3 linked regions of the Tamandua tetradactyla genome follow. The protein of the gene in region 2 binds, or shares a complex with, the protein of the main gene of each other region. Links are inferred from orthologs where the notes say so. Each region holds a gene or a part of one and is shown on either strand. Other genes may lie near its edges. The genes, in order: SEM1, ADRM1 and UBQLN2.

Region 1 (7,430 bases), about 59 Mb from region 2:
ATTTGTGTCCCCTGTGAATGGTCACCAGACAGTGACTTCAGCAGAGAAAGGCTTTTAATAATCAAATGGATAAGATGACCTGTTCTATGGATACCAGTCAGCCTCTTCCCCCCAGCCACTCCTATCATTGCCCAATGAACTCATGAACAAAGTGGTCATGGTGGTAGGGATGGAGGTTATGCATGGGCTCAGCAAAATAGAATTCCACTCACCAAGGCTAACCTGGCTATAGCTAATACTGAGTGCCCAATCTGCCAGCAGCAGAAACCCATACTCAGTCCCTTATATGACACCATTGCCCAAGGTGATCTGCCTGCTACCATGTGGCAGGTTGATTACATTTGACCCACTTCCATCATGGAAGGGGCAGGAATTTGTTGTAACTGGAATAGACATATACTGCAGATATGGGTTTGCCTTCCCTGCATGCAATGCTTTTGCCAACACTACCATCTGTGGACTTATAGAATGCCTTATCCACTATCATGGTATTCCACATAGCATTGCTTCTGATCAAGGAATGCATTTCATGGAAATGAGGTATGGAAATGGGCACACTTCATTTCAGATGGATTCTCTGGATTTACCGTGTTCCCCATCATTCTGAAGCAGCTGGATTGAAAGAATGGTGGAATGGCCTTTTGAAGACTCTATTACCACCCCAGTTAGGTGGTAATACCTTGCAGGGCTGGGACAGTGTTTTCCAGGAGGCTGTGTATGCCCTCAATTAGTGTCTACTCTATGGTGCTGTTTTTCTCATAGCCAGTATTTATAGCACCACTCACTGTCACTCCTAGAGTTCCACTAGAAAAATTTTTGCTTCCTGTCCCTGCAATCTTAAGCTTTGCTGGTCTACAGGTCTTAGTTCCAAAAGGAGGAGTGCTTCCTCCAGGAGACACAACAATGATCCCACTGAACTGTAAGTTAAGACTGCTATCTGGCCACTTTGGGCTTCTCTTGTTCTGAATCAACAGGCCAAGAAAGGAATTACTACAATGGCTGAGATGATTGATCCTGACTATCAAGGGGAAATAGGACTGCAACTACATAGTGGAGGTAAAGAAGAGTTTTCCTGGAACACAGGAGATCCACTAGGACATCTCTTAGTACTACCATGCCCTGTGATTAACATCATTGGAAAACTGCAACAACCCAATCCAGGTAGGACTATTAATGGCCCAGAAACTTCAGGAATGAAGATTTGGGTCACCCCACCAGGCAAAGAACCATGGCCAGCTAAGGTTCTTGCTGAGGGTAAAGGAACATGGAATGGGTAGTAGAATAAGGTAGTGTTAAATATGAACTATAACCACATGATCAGTTACAAGAATGAGGACTGTAATGGTATGAATATTTCTTCATTTTGTTATGAGCACATTTGTATTGGTACATAAGGAAATATCTATGTTTTCTTTTCTATCTTATCCCCTATCATATGACATAAGTTTTATTATTCATGTCATAGTATTTAAGTTGAAATAAGTTTAAGAGTGAATATTACCCAAGGACTTGCACCCTATTCTGCAGAGAGTTTGTCCATTTCTGGTTGTATACAAGACAATTGAATATTAATAAGTGAAAACTATGTCTGTTATTGTTTTTTATTTAGATATTAAGCATGGCTTAAAGTGATGTGTATAGCTGCCAAATTGACAAGGGGTGGACTGTGATGGTTAGGTTTATGTGTCAACTTGACCAGGTAATGGTGCCCTGTTGTCTGGTCAAGCAAACCATTACTGCGAAGACGTTTCATGGACTTAAATCATCAGTAAGTTGATTGCATCTATGACTGATTAAATCCATACTCAACTAAGGAGAGTTTCTTCAGCAATGAGAGACATTTAATACAGTTGGTTGACATATAATCCAAAGAAGAAGTCAGAAGAGAGAACCTCTCTTTCTCTACTTCAGAATTCACTGAAAACCAGCAGAGTTGGCAGCTTGCAACCTGCCCTACAGAATTTGGACTTGTGCATCCCTGCAGTTGCATGGGCTATTTTAATAAAATCTCATATTTACAGAAATCTCCTTTCGGTTCTGTTTCTCTAGAGAACCCTGACTAATATTGGAGGCTGAGATATTTTAAAATTTAAGTCCTTTCTTTAATAATAGCTCATATGTATTGATTGTTAATTATGTGTCAGGTATTGACCATGTATTTTATATACATGACCTCATTTAATTTCCACTATAATTGTGGAAATGACTCAAATGCATTTCAGAGAAATTAAGTAATTTGCCTAAGTCCACTGTTTACAAAGAATTTATCCAGGATTGATATCCTGATTCATCAAATATACATTCATATGTGCTTAATTTAATTAAGCAATAATGCCTCTAACACTTTAATAACTTTCATTTCTCAAAAATTTTCCATGTGCCATGACCATTAAAATGAGAAGTTGCTCACTGTGCCATGTACCATGACAACTAAAATGAAAAGTTATTTCTCAGTTCCCAGTCTTCCGATTTCATGTAGCAGTAAAATTTTCTTTAAAAAAGAATGGGTAGGGTGGGCAACTGTGGCTCAGCAGGCAGAGTTTTTGCCTGCCATGCCGGAGACCTAGATTCGATCACTGGTGCCTGCCCAAGCAAAAAAAAAAGAATGGGTAACTGATATTATTGGTTTTGCATTTATTCATTTAAATTGGATTAATAAAGTTTTAGAGGGAAAAATCACAATATTGCTGTTGAGTTTTCCCTTTGCTAAGGACTGATGACTCAAACTTCATCATGTAACAGATGAAGAGAATAATAAATCCAAGAACTAGAATTTGAATTTCCTAATTGATTCTATGGGCAAATCTTTAACTGTACAAAATGGCTGTCTCAATTCTGTAATTTGCTTTTTTAAAAAAAAATACAATTTTTTTGAGCTATATTCACACACTATACAAACCATCTGAATTACACAATTACTGGCTCACAGTATCATCACATAGTTGTGCGCACATGTGATTTTCTTTTTATTCTTTGCTGCCTAAGTCAAGCTGCCTACCCAAAGCTTCACCTTGGTGTGTGGTTCCCAGTAACATGGGGATGATAAGGAATATGTGACTCTAAGGGACCTCATCAAGTGAGCAAATGCTACCATACAAACTACTTTAATATGCAGGATTATAATACATACTTTTAAAATGTACTTAGAATTTTTTATTTTGCTCATTTTTCTCTTCTTTTATTAATTTGGTATTTATTTATATAACATGCCAAATTACATCTATTTCAGCCTAGTTTTAAGACCACCAATATTTTCAGTAAGCATTTCAGATCAAAGTACTATTATAGGGGCTTTTTAAAAATTACACCTAATTGTGGATCCAAATTTGTTTTCTCTTTAGTTGCTCTATTCTCTGTACTCCTGTTCAAATAATTCCCCACATAATTTTATTTTAAAATGGAGATTCAAATAAATTACCATGTTTCATTGTGATTTATCTGTTTACATGTCTCTGAGTGAAATATGAGGGGAAGGACTTTATGTTACATGTTTGATTTCTAGCACAGGACCTGGTATGTGGTGTGAACTAATGTTTTGAATGAAGGAATGGGTTTTAAATACACAAACACATGTATCTAAATTTACAATTATAGTCAATTATATGTATATTTATATATGATCCAAAATATTCATCTGCGTTCATCCATATTGCATATCCATATATATTACATATAGAGTTCCATATCGTTTGCCACTATATTCAAAATGATAATCAACATGAATGCAAAATGACATATTTTGAATACATGTTACAAATATCCATTTTAACAGTATTATTTTATAATATTCTGTTAAGAGTTTCTCTCTATCTATCTATCGATCGATCTATCTAAAAGGAGAGAGAAACTCTTGTTAACATGTTATTCACCACACAGTAATTCCCAGACAGAGGAAAAAGCATAATGGACAAGTATGGAAGGCAGGCAAATATATATGCATATATACATTCTCTAACACTACCTGAGTGACTTTTGCTGTTCTTTCCTGAACCTGAATTTTCGGTGATGTGGAGATACTTAATCTCATGCCTAGTAACTGGTTTAAGGACTGGAGGAAAGGAATGTTAAGGGATTGGCACTTGGTGGGCCTTTTATGAATATAAGTAAACTAGATCTTTATGCAGTCTACCTCTTTAGATTTCCTGTCTCAACTGTAAACCAAGTAAAAGTGTTTAATTTTTCTGCATATTATGTATCTTTCCCAGTCAGGGAAACCTACAGTGAACACAAATTCGACAATTAAAAGTGTCCACTTAAAATGGTGAAGACGCAAATAACCCACTAACTCTGAACGACCGCTAAACCCTCAGGAAGCGCTGGGCGGACCTCAGTATCCCAGCATTCACCGCTCTGTTCCGTAGCTCTGCCCTGGCGTCTCTATGGTAGCGCCGGCCTCGGAGACGGTCGCTGTGCGAAGATTGCTGTAAGGAAGAGTGAGGCTTCCTTTCTCCTTTCTGGCCTCGCTTTGGGTGCGGAGAGTCGTGATGTCAGAGAAAAAACAGCCGGTAGACTTGGGTCTCCTAGAGGAGGACGACGAGTTCGAGGAGTTCCCTGCCGAAGGTAACTGGCCGAGCCCTTCGGCCTCTGTGCCCGCGGACAGTGACTCAGGCCTCCGAGTGGAAGCGGCGTGTCCGCTCGGGCCCGACTCTGGGGCCCCGGCGAGAAGTCTGGCTCTCCGCAGCGCTCTCGTAAGGCCCTGGACGCCCGACCCTCCGCGTCCCTGCCTTCGGCTCCCGGCTGTCACCGTGGGAGTCACGGGCGAGGTCAAACGGCTTCTCCTTTGGGAGGAGGCATGGCGACCCCGGGCTCCCAGCACTGTCCGACATGGCTCTTTTACACTTAAACTAGATTATCTTCCACCACGTTCATGTCTGTTTTATTTTCCCTTGTTTTAGCAGCTTTCGTTGCTAAAGAAGCTTTCGTTTCTTTCCAAAATTAAATTGTTTCCTGGTTATGCTAAGATGTTGCAAAGTGAAGCCTGTTACGTAGGACCGTGTTGTTTAATTCACGTATTGCCTTACGCTTGTTCATCATTTTTGGTCACTTAGTTTCGAACTAACTTTAAGTTTACTTCCATGGTTGCCAGGAGGACCTTTAGTTTTCTCAGTGAAGTTAATACCACATAACTATCATTTATAATCATAAATAGTAATACTTATTGAGTGGTTACTATGTTGACAGGCACTTGGGTACTGGTATTACAACTTTTCAGCTAAAGAAACAGAAGCTTGGAATGGTTGAGAAACTTGCCAGTTTTATTCAACTGGCTAGAAATGATGGAACTGAAATTAACTATTAGGTAGCTTTAGGTAGCTTTTCTGAAGGTGGTTGGTAGAAAGAAGAGTGATTAATGGTATACACATCTGTTTTATTAAGCAGTTAATGCTTCACTAAAATTGTCCTAGATTGTACCCCATCATGTTCCTATTGTGCTTAAAGGTATAAGCTGAAGCATTTATTTTATTTATCTTGTGCTCTGTTTTGTTTAGTGGAAGAGAACATTAGTATGAATGCTAGAGGAATTCAGACTAACCTAAAGCACATTTCTTTTGAATTCTGGAGTTCATTATATGTCGTGAGCGTTGTTTGGTTTTTGTATTTTTTTTGTTGGTTGATTTATCCAGTCAAGGTTTTTTTTTAACTCTCTTTTCAAGTTGATTGATAATCCCCAAACACTGAGCTATGTAGTAGAAAAGTGACTCACTGAGGGCAGGATTCACTTCTTAGTCAAACTTCATGTACATTTGATTTGTTTCAGCAACTTGTATTTCATCTGTTTTTACTTTGTGTAGTTTGTTCGTGTTCTAAGTTTATGTGGTGAGCAGCAAATTTTTGCTAGTTGCTAGTTACTTAGTAAAAGACTCCATCTAAAATGAAGAGGAAAAGCAAAGATGCTTAAAATATTTTCTCAAAAGACAAAGGCATCTCATGGTAGACTGGTTTGTAGTATTAAGTAACTCACCATTTATTGGTTACCTTACAGAATATTTGTTTTTAAGTTTGAAGTGGTACCTAATTCATTCTTGAGAAACAACAATGGCTTTTATTCAAGTAGTTTTCTTCTCTGGTTTATAGTTCGAATAGGTTTTCCTAACATGCTAATTTGAATTAGTGAGATTTTGCTGGAAACAAAGTTAGCTGGCTGGGTGAAATTACTAAATATTTACTAACTAATATAAACTGCTCTGATAAATAACAGGCAACTTGGAAAAGTGTTACTAAGGAATAATTTATCTTTGAGACTGTGTATTTCTTATATTTTTGGCCTAATCATGTTGAGTTGTCCTTGTTACTGAAAATATGATCCATGGACCAGCAGCCTTGATACTACCTGGGAGCCTGTTAGAATGCAGCATCTTGCCCTCACTTTAGACCTATTGAATCAGTCTCGACTTGACTAAGATTCCCAAGAGATTTGGGAATTAAAATTGAGAGGGGCTGCTTTTTAAAACATTGGCTTATTTTGAGTCTTTCAGTTTTGAGTTTTTGGTTCAATTATTAATTACTTTCAAGTGCTTTCCCTTTGGGTATTTGTGTGTGTGTGTGTGATTGTCTTTCTGGTAAATTTGCCATTAACAAACTTACTAGCAGATAAAAAATGAAATTACCGTTGTTAAGCATGCCTCTAACCATCTTAATACTACTGACCTTTAGGAAATCTTACTTTTAAAGGCCCTGATGAGTTTCAGGTCCTACACAGAATGGACGCTGTTCCTGTCTAAGGGAGTTTGCAGAATAGAGCCTGCCACATGAAAGCCATTACTGGTTATTACTGAAATTGTGTGTCCCTAATTTGACCAGCGAATTGTCTGCCTTTTGGCAGTGTTGTCCCTCCATCTCATCCTAGATAAGAACTTCTTTGGTGGGATGTTAATTTAGTCCTTTTAGGGAACGAGAACTTTTATTTTATAAAGGAACTGGAAGTTGTTCTTGTTGCGTTATGGAAAAATCTTAAGAATATTTAAAATGTAATTGAATTTGCCTTCAGAAGTAATGGTATTTGCAAGAGAATGCTAATAGGTATTCTATAATTTTTATTTTTTATTTTTTTATAGCCAATGAAACTGCTGGGTAGTTTGAAGAAATCAGGAGCAGGATTATTACCCATCTCCCTACCCACATTGGATAACTCCTGTGGTTATTGATGAGACTGTGTCTGTTGAGAAAGACAAAAAGCTGATGGCTCCCTAATGCTGTTCAGCATTCTGTAATAACAGAGGCACTCTCCCTTTTCCCTCACAAAGAAGTATGTTATCTTATACTGGTTTTTAACTCGGAGAATTTATTTGGGTGTCCGTTTACTCTGTGGGTGGGAGTGTGAAGTAACTACCAGCATTTAGTGAATAGAGGTTAAGGATTTTAAATGTCCTGCTATGCATAGACCGGTCCCACACAAGGAAAAATTGTACTATGAAAATTGCCATTGAAAA
Region 2 (7,622 bases):
TACCAAGTGGGAAAGATGAACCCCAACCCTTTGTGGGGGGGGGGGGGGCGCCTGCCCTTTTGTTGGCTACACATTTGCGTGCTGAGTGCTGACCTCAATAGAAGGACCCATGTGCTATTTTAAAAGTAGCCTTTAACTTGGAACCGCCTCATGAGAAATTTTGTTTCTCAACAGAGCTTTGTATTTTTAAATTTTGTTCCTAATTGAATTTAGGACTCAGTTATGCGTTCATTGATTTAATGCACAGGTATCAAGGGCCCTGGAGGTTTAAGGACAAAAAGACAGACACCCTTAAAGTCCACTGTATGTGAAAGAGAAACGTGCTGTGGTGCTCCCAGGGCTGCGGAGGGTGGCAGGGAGGAGTGTAGGCTGTCCTCCTTCTGCTCTGTCTGCCTGTGGGCTCCCTGTCTGGGCTGTGGGCTCTCCATCCGGACCGGGGCTCCCCCGACTGTGTTGAAGCTCCCCAAAGCCAGAAGGGAGCAGAAAGGCAGGCTCTGAGCCCTTTATGGGCATCATGGGACTTTGCCACTCCAGCCTGCCCTGGAAACCAGAACCGTGATGGGCCTTTGATGAGGAAGGTGCCCAAAGGGACCTCTGCTTCCTTATAGACATGAATGCTCAGGAGGGAGTTTCTGGAGCCTTCCATGAAGGAATGGGCAGGCCCTCAGGCTGCAGGCCAGAGCAGGGACTCTCTGAGGGGCGCTCGTTTACTTTGGGGCCACTGCCTTCTTTCAGCTCACAGTTCTGCCTGTTTAAAAATGAGAGCCACGAGCTGCCAGCGAGGCTGCAGTGGGGAGAATAGCTCTCTAGTTGTGGCCACTGGAGAAGGAGCTAAGCGCAGCTTGGATGGGCCCTGGGGCCTTGAGCCAAGAGCACCGCTGGCCATAGTTGTGGGGTGGTGGCCTGTGCTTGCTGGGTCCTCTGAACACTAAGCTGGGCCACTAGTAGGATGCAGGTGAGCAAGCAGCAGGGAGCTTCCCTCAAGGACACTGCTCTCTGGGTAGGATTTCTACCTGGCACAAGCGTTACAGGCCTCCGTGAAATGAAGAACAGAGTGAGGCTTTTAATAGTGTTCAAGTGTTCAGAAGCACTGAGCGCCCTGCCCTGCTTCACGCTTGGGTTTGCATGGTAGTGAAGAGTTGTATCCACACAGAACGATTGAAGCAGGGAAGAGTGCAACCGTCAGTTTCTACTAAGCCTAGTTTCTTCCTGTCTCAACATTAGCTTCCAAAGAACTTCCCTACATCCGACTTAGGTACAGAGGAGATCTTGAAAATCACTAGCCTTGGGCCACACACCTTCGTGAGCCTCTCCGGGGACCTGTCCTGCCGTCATCTACATTCTCAGTGTGAGATATTTGCAAAGTGAAGCCAAACTTTGAGGCCTTTCTTGGTTCGACGTTTGCTGGACAGCAGCCTGTCCTTAACCAACTGCCATGTGGCCTTTTTGTTGTGAGTCAGATCCTTAGTGCTGCGGACTTGACCCTGTGGAGGGTGGACACGACACACGTGTCCAGCTGTCCCCACCCACTCTGTGCCTGTCCCAGGGACTCCTCGGGCTGCCCGTTCCTGGGTGTTTGGCTGGTCCTTTGCCACACTGAGTTTGTCTGTCAGTATAGTGTGAGAACATGGGCAAGAAAAGACATTCGTGAAATGGGCTTATTTCTATATTACTTGATAGCCCTCAGTACCCATTTGTACTAACAGAATCAGTCATTCTTAGATATTTTTTTGAAGACTGTGTACATGTCTGTGGAGATAAAAAATTCTAGCTCTGAATAAAAGTTCTTTGAAAATGGGTTATATATTGATATTTCTTTCTCAAACAATTTTTCATTGTCTCAGCCACTCTTGCGTTTTGGGAGAGGGCTGCAAATCTGCCGCAGATAAGCTCTTGTTCCCAGATATCAGGTCCTTGAACCATCTGTTCTTTGGGATCAGCCCAGAAAATGGATGGTTTCTGGAAAATGCTGGACCCAGAGGGGGATGAAGGACCACTCACAACACAGTTGGATGGCTACAGTTGGTGGACTAGGAGTCCTGGGTTCTCTGAGCGGTGGGAAGTTCGGGTTAACTAGCCCTTTCCCAGGGATCGGGGCCTGTCCCGAAGCCCTAGGCATCCAGGGCTTGTGCTGGCCTGACTGCAGCTTCCCACTGCTGGGTGTCTGCCCTCCACAGCCCCGACGGCTGCCTGCTGTCCCTGGGCTGCCGTGTTTGGGCTCTGGGAAGACGTACAGCCAGTGCCTCCCAGAGTTCCCACCGTGCAGTCCTGCCGGGCTCTGGGACTGGTGTCACGGTCTCCCCAAAGTGACCGCCCAGCCTGGTTCCCAGAGGAGACAAAGGAGGTGCTGGAGGTGGACTTGCCAGGGCCTCGCATCTGGAGTCGGGGAGTTCACCTTTAGCTGGGCGGTCAAGTCAGGGGAGTTTTGACAAACACATCCTTCCTGTCTTGTAAGTGCCACCACAGTCAAGACTCAACCATTGCCCGCACCCCAAAAATTTCCCCCGTGCCCCTTTGTAGTCAGCCCCAGCAACCACTGATCAGCTTTTGTCCTGCAGCTCTGCCGCTCCCTCCAGGCTGGCTTCTTTCTGGAGCATGGGCAAGTGGGAAAAAATGTCACCTCAGACATGTACACAGGCCGTCCCTGTCTCTTGGCTGTAGACACCTGGGCGTGGAACGGCTGCATCATCGAGTGCGTGCATTTAAATGTCTTGTCTTCCCAGCACCACCCCGAACTCCCAGCACTTGGTACTGCCAGGACCGTTCCCTTTGTTTTTCCTTTGTTTGCCTTTTAGCCATTCTAATAGGCGTGTTTTAATTTGCATTTCCTTTATGACTAATGATGTTGAGCATCTTTTCATGTGCTATTTGCCATCTGTCTGTCCTCCTCTGTGAAACGTCTGTTCATGTCTTCTGTCCACTTTTAAATGCCATCCGAGGGACAGCCACCTTTCATCTAAGGGCCTCAGCTCGGGTCCAGCTGTTGGGTTTGTTTGTGCTTCCCTCCACCCACCCCCAAAACAAGGCTATAGAGACTGTTTCCTTTAGGGGATCTGCTTAGTTAGCCCAAACCCCTTAGCTGAATACACATCTTGGAGGTGCTGTTTTGTTTTTCTAGAAGCTAAAGACATGTTGCAGGTGTTGTCCACTACCTTGGATAAATCAACGATCAATTATAAAAATGACAACTGCTGTTTCTGGAGTGCCAGGCCCTAGCTGACCTTGACCTGTCTCCTCTTGTTTCCTGCCAGCCGCCCAGGCAGCCCTGCTCAGTCAGGCTGGACTAAGGACGCGCCGGGGGCCACCTCTGCGGCGGGGGCTGCTGGCAGGCACTGGCCTCTCCCAGGGCCCTTCAGGCAGTGCACACAATGAGCAGAGCAGGCAGAGGGGCAGAGGTGACAAGAGAGGCGTCCACATGCCTGCCCCCGAAGCGTGTTTCCTGACTGTAGAGCTTTCAAAGAAATTGTTGTGCAAAGACTTTCGTGTCTTTTGTTTGTGTTTTGAGTCAGCTCGGGACACAAGGCTCCCCTAGCGTGAACAAAAAATGCCACATTTAGGGGCCCCTCTGAGGCCACTGCCCCCAAGGGAAGCACTGCCTTGGGGTGCTGCTAATTTGGTCTCTTGTGTTCTCCAGGGCAGTCCTTAAATTTCCTTGAGTTTGAACAAATGACACTTGCCAGTGGCCTCCTTTCTGGGAAGTTAAATCGAATGCCCTCAGTTTTTTCGACTTTTTTCCACAGGGGCACGGCACGGGTCACCCAACTGGCAGGAGCAGGGTCCACTCACCAGCATCTGCACCTGCACTTCCGCCAGCCATTCCCAATCTGTTTGGTGTCCCTTCTCTACCAATGAGCTTTTTGTTTATGAAGGTTTTATGTATTGGTATTTACCTTAATAGATATTAAAATGAAAGTTTAAAATATTAATTTAAAAGCAACAGTTAAAAACCCACATTTAACAAATGATCTTTTTAATGAAAAAATAGCTATATTTTCTAAAACAAAAAATTCAGTGAATCCTTAAATCAATTAAATTTTTTTTCAGTTGAAGCATTCTAATAGTGAAAAACTGGAATAAGTGCCCATCCAGAAGACGGTGGAGTGGTAGGAAAAGTCAGCAGTGAGAGCCAGAGCGCGGCTTAACATTTTTGCCAACCTCTGGCCTGTCCGACCAGATGACAGCTGCAAGCGACCCGCGGGGAGCCCGTCCAGGCCCTCCACGCCCGGAGCTGCTCCGCGGGGCCCGGGAGTCCCTCACGCGGGCGGCCACGCTCCCAGGGCGCTCCCCGCCGCCTTCGCTGCAACTGGTGTCAGTTAATTCAGGGACGTGGCACTGACCCTGCCTCGCCCACGTCCCACGTCCCACGAGCAGCTCTCGGCTGCGGCCCCAGATGCCGCAGCTCCTTAGACCCCGGCGCGCCACCCTCCACCCAGCCGCGCGCTTCCCGGCGCCGCCAGTAGGGGCCGCCGCCGCTCCCCGATGACACAGCAACAATGGGGGCCGCTCTGCCCGCCCGGCGCGGCCGCGCTTCCTCCGGCGCCGGGGGCGGGATGCGCCGATGAACGGCCGCTTGCACCAATCGCTGGTGGGTCATGGCCAGGTGCTCCGCCGAGGACGCCCAATCGGCTGGCAGAGCGGCGTGTGGGCGGGGAGAACGGGCACTTCCGGCGGGGCCCCGCCGCCGCGGACGAGGAAGAGAGAAGCCGTCCCGCGCAGCTCGGCAGTCTCCGCGCAGGCTAGGTGCTACTGCCGGCCCGGGGCGGTGAGGGGTGGGGCAGCGGACGGGGTCTGCGCCGCCCGCTGGCTCCGTGGGAGGCCGTCCGTTGGCCCCCGAGTCCACCCGGGAAGGCCCGAGGCCGGCGTGCCCTGGGCTGGGGGCCCGAGCGGCAGGGCCGCCCCCTCCAAACCCACTCTTCCCCGGGGATTCCAGTTAGCGGCCCCGGGCCTTCAGTGGCCGGGCGTCCTGCTTGGCTTGGGGTGCGGAGGGTGGGCTCGCGGCGGGGAGCCCCTGCCTTCCGGACCGGGCTTGGCGGAGGCCGGCGGAGTGCCCTTCCCGGTGACCAGCAAGTCAGAGCCTGCCCTGACTTCCCAGAGTGGCCGGCTTCTCTTTTTTAAGGGGAAAGACGCCGTGGGGTTGCAGTTTAGCAGGCGCGTGTTAAGACAAATTAGTTGTTTGAACCCAAAGCCCCGCCTTGGATTTCATGTCTGTATTTTGGCCACCTCCGCTCGAGTTCTTAAAATTCTTGGGAGCTCAGGACACAAAACAAGACTTACTCAGTTCGAGGCTCAGAGCCATATGGACAGAGGTGGTATCCATGTTGCGCGTACAGAAGCTCAAGTCTGGCCCTCTTACTTGACTCAGTTGTACTCTTAGAGCTCCTGGCCCCTAACCCTGAGGAAGTTTTGCTTAGATCAGGCGGGGAGGCCAGCAGGGCAGCTGTCCTCGGGGGTCTTCACAGCCCCAGCACAGAAGTAGGGTGTTTCAGAGCTGGGCCAGCTGTGACGTTTGAGGAGGAAATGGAGAATTTTGGTGCTAACGAACACACAAGATGCCCCCTGGGTCTAAGTGCTGGTTTCTTTCTTTGCAGGATGACGACGTCTGGTGCCCTGTTTCCTAGCCTGGTGCCAGGCTCTCGTGGATCCTCCACCAAGTATTTGGTGGAGTTTCGGGCAGGAAAAATGTCACTAAAAGGAACTACCGTCACCCCGGATAAACGGAAAGGGCTTGTGTACATTCAGCAGACCGATGATTCCCTCATTCACTTCTGCTGGAAAGACAGGACATCAGGGAACGTGGAAGATGTAAGTAGCCGTAAGCTGACGCTTCATCCTAAGAAAGCCCAGTGAACTCTCCTCAGAACAGTAGTTTTCTAAAAGAAAGTGTTGCTGCCATCTCTACGTACTCTGAGCACAGCACTGGCTGTTTGACAGTTCAGAATGATTTTTGTGGCTTCGCAGTTGGTGGTGGTGGTATTGGGGTGGGGGTTGGTTTGACACCTCATGGGCCATTTGCTTTGTTTACGGCTCTTCCTTGTCTTGATTAAATGGACGTCTCCCTGCGCTGTAGGTCCCTGAAACTTTAATGTCAGGTGCCCGGGACTAGAGGAGCCACGTTACTGGCTTGACTTTTATTATTATCCTCAAGAAGGCTTTCTCCAGTAGCCACTTTATTTAGTGTTGCTCGTTCTTCAGACTAAATTGTTCCTTTTCCATTTGAGAGTGGGTTATTTTGAGAGCATGTGTCTGGGAGCAGTTGATCTAGTTGTGTATAAAACTAAATGATATGGATACCAGAAACATTTAAAAGTAGAATTCCTTAAGTTAAAAAAAAAGGGGGGGGGGTTGAAAAAGGGTAGTAACAATAGCATTGTCCTCACAGCATCTCTGTTAAAAACTTCAGGATCTGAAAACCCGCCTTCCCTAGTCCCCATTGCAGGCCCTGTGAGTGGCTGGACCCGCCCTCCTTCCCACCTTCCTCCTCGCTCTGCCCTTCCTGCTGCCTCTGACCTGGCTGACCCGCCCTGTGGGATCCGCTGGTGAGGGACTTGGGGGCTTCCTGCTCTCTGCCCCCACATCCACCAGCCCAGGGCCCAGCCTGTGTTGGAGCTGTTGAGGTGCAGGCATCGCCTGCTCACTGCTCTTCCCTCCTTGCTCCATAGGACCTGATCATCTTCCCCGATGACTGTGAGTTTAAGCGGGTTCCGCAGTGTCCTAGTGGGAGGGTCTATGTGCTGAAGTTTAAGGCAGGGTCCAAACGGCTCTTCTTTTGGATGCAGGTATGTGGAAAGTTTTTTCTCGTGTTTTGTCTCTTCTTGCTTTTGTACCCTGTATGGTAGAATCTGCTTTGACAGACCGGTTGGTGTGGACCAAATGAGCACAAATTTCAGTGTATTAACTTGCATCAAGAGTCGTGGAGGGGAATGTCCCATCCCAGGGCCTGGGGACTGGTGGCTGGGCCCTGCGGCACCCCCGATTTGCAGAGTTGGGTTTCCCAGCAGGCAGACATGAGTGATTTCAGCTAGGATGCACCTCTGGCATCTGGGGGGCACTTTGCCCTCCTTTCGTAACCCACTGCCCACCTCACAGGTTCCCGAAGACACCCCAGAGCAGAGAAGCAGAAGTCGACTGTGTCCCACTCCCCACTGCACTTAGAGAAGGGAGCACCATCTCCACACCCCTCTGAGCCTGCTTTCTCCCTGCGTGGGGTGTTTTGGAGGTGCTTGCGTGTCAGCACACAAAGGCGGCCTTGCTCCCCACAGCTGTAGAGAATTCCACTGAATACACCAGCATCAGTTCTACCCCTGACTGGTGGCCTTTGAGCTTGTTTCATTTCTTTTGCTGCCACAGGCCATGTTGCAAATATTCTTAAACACACGTTACTTCCTGTGTGTGAGCATAACCTGTGCGTTAATGTCTAGCAGTGGGCCTGCTTTATGCCCAGGGTGGATGTGTTTTTGTGGTTTTGGCTGGTGTGGCCACATCCCCTCCCCAGAGGCTGACCCAGCTGTCCTCCTCCCACAGCTGGGTAGTGCTGGGTCCCTTTCTTTGAGGGCCAGAGAAGAAATGGTTTCCTGTCTCATGCTTACTCTATCTGGTAGCATGGAAACAGCATGGATGCTGTG
Region 3 (7,195 bases), on a different chromosome or scaffold from region 2:
TACTTTGAACAATTTTAAGCACTGTTCTAAGTGATTAACGTATGCTAATTTATTTGATTGTTAAAACAGCCCTTCATTTCACAGATGAAGAATACTGAGGGACAGAGATTATGTGCCCAATGTTATATAACTAATAAGTAGAAGTGATGAAACAAGGATTTGAATCTAAGTAGTCTGGATCTACTATGTCAAGATTGGATATTATATCAGTCATTAACTCTATAGACAGAAGAAAATGTTTCATTTATTTTAATTTGTATTGTTTTTTAATTTAAAGAAGATATTTTCCCTTTTTCTTCTTTCTCTTCCCTCCCTCCCTCTTTCCCTTTCCTTCTCCCTCCCTTCTTTGCTTTCTTCCTCTGTTCTACCCTTTTCTTCTTCCTCTTTGCCTTTGTTTTTCCTTTTGTAAGATACTAGCTCATGTCCTTTATCTATTTTTTTCCCTTGGGGTTTTCATTAATTTAAATAGATTTGTAAAATTGTGTGTATGTAAAGGATATTAAGACTTCATATTTTATATATGTTGCAATTTTTTATTTTGCCTCTAACTTTAAAGATTAAAAGTTTAACATTAAAAGTTTCTATTGTATTTTTGACATATACACGTTTCAAATTCTTATTTAACCAAACTCATCAATCTTTTCATTTATGGGTTTTTTTTTTGTTATTTAACCTAGTATTTTTCTGCAAATTTTATAATTTTATTTATCACCTGTAATTTATTTTAATATTTGACATGAAGAGCCACAGATGACTGTCTTTCCAACACTGTTAATGGTTCATTATTTTTCTTATGTTGTTTCTGTCATTTCAGTGGAAATTTGGTAAGGAGGGGTGGAAAATGCACAAACTCAGTCACCACCTTGAACAAGAAAGCTGATTTATTAAACAGATAATTATTTAACTACTTGCTCATTTTCATTCATGTTTTTTACATGGTCTGTTCAGGTTTTCTACTTCTTCAATGTATTTTGGTCATGTTATTTTCCTAGAAAAAATCGGTTTGCCTTTGTTATTAGCAGACATTTGCATGAAGTATTCCCTCACAATTTTTAAAAATCTCTCCTTCATCTGTGGTTAATCTACTCATGCAACCCAGTTTTGTTTGTCTTGCTACTGTTTGCTTAAGTTTCAGCTAACTAATATTGGGCATCTCACTAGTTAAGGCATGCTTGTTCAACTACGGAATGTTAATTTTATTTCACTGTAACTCATTAGAAACATTAAAATGGATGTATTTTGAAACAAAACACACAAAAAAAGCATGTGATTTATAAGAGAAAAGAGAATTCAAAGAAATGTGCTTGTTATGGACATCTTTGGGGAGGGTTCCAGCCTCCTTTTCTGTGTACTTTGGTGAGGGAATTGTGAGCTAAGAGAATCACTAAACTAATAGTGATTTATCTGATTGATTTGTTTTTTCAAAGAACCTCTTAGATTTATTTAACGAATTTTATTTTTGTGTGTTAATTCATTATTAATTGCTTTTTGCATTTTGTAGCTGGCACCCTGCTTTCCACATTATTTTCCTGTTGAACATTTTTAAACTTCTTTATATAAATGCCTAATTCTTTTATTTTCATTTTTGTGTTTAAGGTCTTCGAGTGTATAAATCTGATTCTGAGTTCATCCACATAGTATAACGTATATAAAATATTCTTAATCAGGAGCTTATTAAGAATTCAGATTCCTGGGCACTAGTATTTCAGTAAGTTTGGGGTGAGGTCTAGAAATTTGCATTTTTAGCAAGGGCTTCAGGTCACATTTAAGGAAACCCTATCCTAATTGTGACATATATTTTTCTCATTATTGTTATTTTTCTAAATAAGAACTTGGATTTGCATTTTGTTCCAAGAGTGTTTGGTTTTAATTTTCAAGTGGTTGAGTTTTTCATCCATATTAGCTTTGTTTATTAGAATGAAAGAAGGTGGCCTGTGATGTTTTCCTATTTTTCTTTTTTTTTGAGAAATTTAAGAATACACAAAAATACAAACAGTATTACAACAAATATTCATATTCTCACCACCCAGAATTAGCTATTGCTGATATTTTGCTTCCATTAAAAAACGAAATACCTTTTTATGGATTGAATTCAAGTTCCCTTTAATCACTATCTGGGTTTTATTCCATTTACTCTTCCTCAGGGTGTAACCACTGGTGCATCAAATATGTATGAATGCATCTATAAACACTATAGATGTTGTTTTGCATGTACTAATTAAGTTTTTTGAGATCTATACATATTGATATATTTAGATTGAGGTCATTCATTTTACCTTGTATTTTCCATTAATCATGTTAGTCATAATATATTAATCTCTATTCCCCTATTGATGGACCTTAGGTACCTGATTTTCTCTTAATCTTGAGATTTATTAAAGTATTGTGGCCTATGACTGTCAAATGATGTTAAATGTTCCTTGGATACTAAAGGAAAATAGAATTTTCTGGATGGTGTAAACCAGCTTTACAAATTTATCCATAAATTGGAAATTTATTGTATTATTCAAGTATTCTTTCTTAACATTACATCTCTATTTATCCTACTTAATTTGTAAAAGAATGAGGTAAATATATTAATAACTGCCACTAGTCATGTCAAACTCTACGTATATGCTTGTCTAAAAATAACTGCTTTTTAAAAAATTATGACTGCAGTGCTTACTTTTAAAAATCATCAGGAAATTCAAAACATTATTAAAAAAATAAGAATTATAACTTCAGCACTCAGCAGTAGCCATCATTAATATATTGGTATATAGTGTTCCAGATTTTTTACACATACAGTTTACTTATACAAACTGTTCAAAAAATAGTTTTAAAATAAAAATATCTTCATTGAAGTTTTTGGTATTAAAGCGTACATACTTGTAAAATTCCAAACTATACGGAAATATATAAAGCAGAAAGCAAAATTCTCTTACTTCCCTACAACTGATGTTTATTAATGTATGCCCTAAAGATTTTTTTATGCCATATAAATTAACCACACATTTTTAAACATAGTGCATATTATTTTATTGGTAATAGCATAAGGTATTTGATCGATCTGTGTAAACAAACACTGATTATCTTTTTAAAATGCTACTTTTAAAATGTTGCAGTGATATATATTTTATACATATATATTTTGCATAATTATCTGATTTTATCAGGTGAGGTCTCTGGATAAGGCATTTCTAAATAAAAGTAGAAATATTTAAAATGTTTGTATATATTTTCAAATTGCTTTATAGAATGAATGATTGTAATTCACACTTCAACTAGCATGAGAATGCATTTTGCCAACTCCCTGCCAACGGTAAGGTTTATCACTATTTTCCATATTTGCCAGCAAGGTAGGCCAAAAGTGGAATCTCATTGTTTTAATTTGAAATTTTTTTCATTACTAGCGAGATTGATCATCCTTTTATCTGCCTATTGGCCATTTGCACTTCTTTTGTAAAAATGTTCGCTTTTGTGCTGTAGTCTCCCCTTCCCCCATTGGGGGTGTTCCTTTTTTTCTTTTTGCTTTGTCAGAGTTATTATTCGTTTTTCGTCTTTTACACTGGATCGGTTCGATTCAGGCTTTTCACCTTTTCACTGCCTTATAGACTGCTAACATATATTCTCCATGGATTTTTAAATGCCGTATACAGAGACTCGCTCCTTCTCCTCCCTGCCTCCCTTCTCTATTTTTTTTTTTTTCTCTTTCTCTCTCTCCCCTCTTTTCTTTTCAGTACAGAAGTTTCTAATTTCCTCGGAGTCAAATCTATCAATCTGGGCTTGGCGCCGCGTCAGGAAAGGGGAGCCGGGAGGCGGGCGCCGAGCTGGGGGAGGGGAGGGAGGAGGGGAAGGGGCGTGGAGGAGCGGGCGGAGCGGCTGCGGGAGTTGCTGGGAGTGCTCGCGGTTTCATCACACGGCGGCGGCGGCGGCGGCGTTGGCGGCGTTGGCGGCGGACCGGAACCCTGATCGCTGAGACCTAGGCTCTAGGCTTACGTCGAGCTCTCTCACCATCGGAGCACCAGGAACCGGAGGAGGCAACGTTCGTTACAGAGGTACCGTGTTCCGCGCTCCCTGCCCGGCCCGGCCCGGCCCTATCCGTTGCGGCGGCGCCCCTTTCCTTCCTCCTTCCCTCGTTCTCTCGCCCGCCCGCGCCTTCCCTGCCCGCCTGCGTCACCGCGGCCGCCATGGCTGAAAACGGCGAGAGCAGCGGCCCTCCGCGCCCCTCCCGCGGCTCTGCTGCGGCCCAAGGCCCGGCCGCTGCCCCGGCCGAGCCCAAAATCATCAAAGTCACTGTGAAGACTCCCAAAGAGAAAGAGGAGTTCGCGGTGCCAGAGAATAGCTCGGTCCAGCAGTTTAAAGAAGCGATTTCGAAACGCTTCAAGTCCCAAACCGATCAGCTAGTGCTGATTTTTGCTGGAAAAATCTTGAAAGATCAAGATACCTTGATCCAGCACGGCATCCATGATGGACTAACTGTTCACCTTGTCATCAAAAGCCAGAACCGACCCCAGGGCCAGTCCACGCAGCCTAGCAGTGCCGCGGGAACTAATACTACCACGACGTCGACTCCCAGGAGTAACTCCACACCGATTTCTACAAATAGCAACCCGTTTGGATTGGGGAGCCTGGGAAGTCTTGCAGGCCTTAGCAGCCTGGGCTTGAGCTCGACTAGCTTTTCTGAGCTTCAGAGCCAAATGCAGCAGCAGCTCATGTCCAGCCCTGAGATGATGATCCAAATAATGGAAAATCCCTTTGTTCAGAGCATGCTTTCGAATCCCGACCTGATGAGGCAGCTTATTATGGCCAATCCACAGATGCAACAGTTGATTCAAAGAAACCCAGAAATCAGTCACCTGCTCAACAACCCTGATATAATGAGGCAGACCCTCGAAATCGCCAGGAACCCAGCAATGATGCAAGAGATGATGAGAAATCAAGACCTGGCTCTGAGCAATCTCGAAAGTATCCCAGGTGGCTACAATGCTCTAAGGCGCATGTACACTGACATTCAAGAACCGATGCTGAATGCCGCACAAGAGCAGTTTGGGGGTAATCCGTTTGCCTCGGTGGGGAGCAGTTCCTCTGGGGAAGGTACGCAGCCTTCCCGCACAGAAAATCGAGATCCACTGCCCAATCCATGGGCGCCACCACCGGCTACACAGAGTTCTGCGACCACCAGTACAACCACCAGCAGTGGCAGTGGGTCTGGCAGTAGCTCTAGCAATGCTACTGGAAACACCCTGGCTGCAGCCAATTATGTTGCTAGTGTCTTCAGTACCCCTGGAATGCAGAGCCTGCTGCAACAGATAACTGAAAACCCTCAACTGATCCAGAATATGCTGTCTGCACCCTACATGAGAAGCATGATGCAGTCGCTGAGCCAGAATCCAGATCTGGCTGCACAGATGATGCTGAACAACCCGCTCTTTACAGGAAATCCTCAGCTGCAGGAGCAGATGCGTCCTCAGCTCCCAGCCTTCCTGCAGCAGATGCAGAATTCAGACACACTATCAGCCATGTCAAACCCCAGAGCAATGCAGGCTTTAATGCAGATCCAGCAGGGGCTACAGACATTAGCTACAGAAGCACCTGGTCTCATTCCAAGCTTCACTCCAGGTGTGGGGGTGGGGGTGCTGGGAACCGCCATCGGTCCTGTAGGCCCAGTCACTCCCATAGGCCCCATAGGCCCCATTGTCCCGTTTACCCCCATTGGGCCCATTGGGCCCATCGGACCCACTGGCCCTGCAGGTCCTACTGGCCCTGCCGGTTCTACCGGCCCCACCGGGCCCACCGTGTCTAGTTCTGCACCGAGTGAAACCACGAGTCCGACGTCAGAATCTGGACCCAATCCGCAGTTCATTCAGCAAATGGTTCAGGCTCTAGCTGGAGCAAATCCTCCACAGCTGCCGAATCCAGAAGTCAGATTTCAGCAACAACTGGAACAGCTCAACGCAATGGGGTTCTTAAACCGTGAAGCAAACTTGCAGGCCTTAATAGCAACAGGAGGCGACATCAATGCAGCTATTGAGAGGCTGCTCAGCTCCCAGCCATCATAATTGCATTTCTGATCCTTGAAAAAAAATGTATCTTATTTTTGATAATGGCTCTTAAATCTTTAACACAGGCAAAAAAAAAAAAAACGACAACCCGTGCTTTATGTTTATTTGATTCTTTTAAATCTGTCTAGTTATAAATCTAATATGATGCATTTTAAGGTGGAGTCCTTCCTCCCTCTCTCCCTTCCCTCCCTCCCTCCTTCCCTCCTTCCCTCCTCTGTTTTGAATGGTGAGAATCAATGCTGTTTCACTCTAAGGTGTTGCATGCAAACACTTCTCTTTATTCTGCATTTATTGTGATTTTTGGAAACAGGTACCAACCTTCACAGTTGAGTGAATAAGTTTTGTCTTACAGATGTTTATTTGCATTTTAAGCATTAGCCTATGATAGTAATTTAATGTAGAATGAAGATATTAAAAACAGAAGCAAATCATTTGAAGCTCTCTAATTTGTGGTACAATATTGCTTATTGTGACTTTGGCATGAATTTTTGCTAGCAAAATGCTGTAAGATACCACTCATTGACCTTTTTGCTATGTTTGTACACGGTACAGTAAGCACAATTGGAACTGTACATCTTCTGGATAAATTACAATAGACTCTGTGAACAGAATATATGTAATCAAAATAAGAAAGAATACAAGAAATATTTCTGAAGCTAGGTATGTCTCCGAATCTTGTAGAATCTTACAGCATCTTTGATAAACTCAGTGAAAATGTTGGCTAGGCAAGTTGAGTTAAAATATAGTAGAAATGTTTATCCTGGTTATCTCTAAGTATACATTTAATTGTACAGAAAACTTACAGTGTACCATTGTGTTAACTTTTGCAGATAGACTGTAAATGACTTTAATCTTAGTGCAGCCTGAAGGATCAATGTAGTTATGCGAGAAAAGTGCTTTTTACCTAAGGCTTCCTTCTCAGTTTCTCTCATAAAGAGACAGACCCTAATGCATTTTGATTTGTAATTGGAAATGTAATTTTCACTGAAAGTGTCATGTGATGTTTCAACTACTTTTAACTGTTATGTATAAAGGAAACTGTATCTTTAGACTTTATCAGCTATTTCTCTTGTGCACAGGGAAAAATACATTAAAATGACTAAAAAAAATAAAAAATTAATTAAAATGGATAATTCTTTTCTTTCTGCCTT

The links.
Region 1: ADRM1 (region 2) and SEM1 share a complex: the UniProt entries of both Homo sapiens proteins name them as parts of the 19S proteasome regulatory particle complex. The link is inferred for Tamandua tetradactyla from reciprocal best matches to the Homo sapiens genes ADRM1 and SEM1.
Region 3: the proteins of ADRM1 (region 2) and UBQLN2 are in contact, whole or in part, in an NMR structure (PDB 2NBV), measured with the Homo sapiens proteins. The link is inferred for Tamandua tetradactyla from reciprocal best matches to the Homo sapiens genes ADRM1 and UBQLN2. Residues at the interface, in NP_008933.2 of Homo sapiens: Asp54, Ser55, Leu56, Asp72, Leu73, Ile74, Phe76, Pro77, Asp78, Asp79, Phe98, Lys99, Ala100, Gly101, Lys103; in NP_038472.2 of Homo sapiens: Lys38, Ile75, Phe76, Ala77, Gly78, Lys79, Ile80, Leu96, Thr97, His99, Val101, Lys103.

Annotation. Positions count from the first base shown.
Region 1 is NC_135327.1:119,113,642-119,121,071, forward strand, and holds the start of SEM1 (26S proteasome complex subunit SEM1), read left to right. Parts: upstream 1-4,355; 5' UTR 4,356-4,484; coding exon 4,485-4,560; intron 4,561-7,430. UniProt on the Homo sapiens protein: Component of the 26S proteasome, a multiprotein complex involved in the ATP-dependent degradation of ubiquitinated proteins.
Region 2 is NC_135327.1:59,869,034-59,876,655, forward strand, and holds the start of ADRM1 (proteasomal ubiquitin receptor ADRM1), read left to right. Parts: upstream 1-4,605; 5' UTR 4,606-4,740; intron 4,741-4,837; exon of another isoform or gene 4,838-5,148; intron 5,149-5,201; exon of another isoform or gene 5,202-5,306; intron 5,307-5,588; 5' UTR 5,589-5,589; coding exon 5,590-5,802; intron 5,803-6,659; coding exon 6,660-6,776; intron 6,777-7,622. UniProt on the Homo sapiens protein: Component of the 26S proteasome, a multiprotein complex involved in the ATP-dependent degradation of ubiquitinated proteins.
Region 3 is NC_135353.1:112,470,108-112,477,302, reverse strand, and holds UBQLN2 (ubiquilin-2), read left to right. Parts: upstream 1-4,154; 5' UTR 4,155-4,169; coding exon 4,170-6,041; 3' UTR 6,042-7,183; downstream 7,184-7,195. UniProt on the Homo sapiens protein: Plays an important role in the regulation of different protein degradation mechanisms and pathways including ubiquitin-proteasome system (UPS), autophagy and the endoplasmic reticulum-associated protein degradation (ERAD) pathway.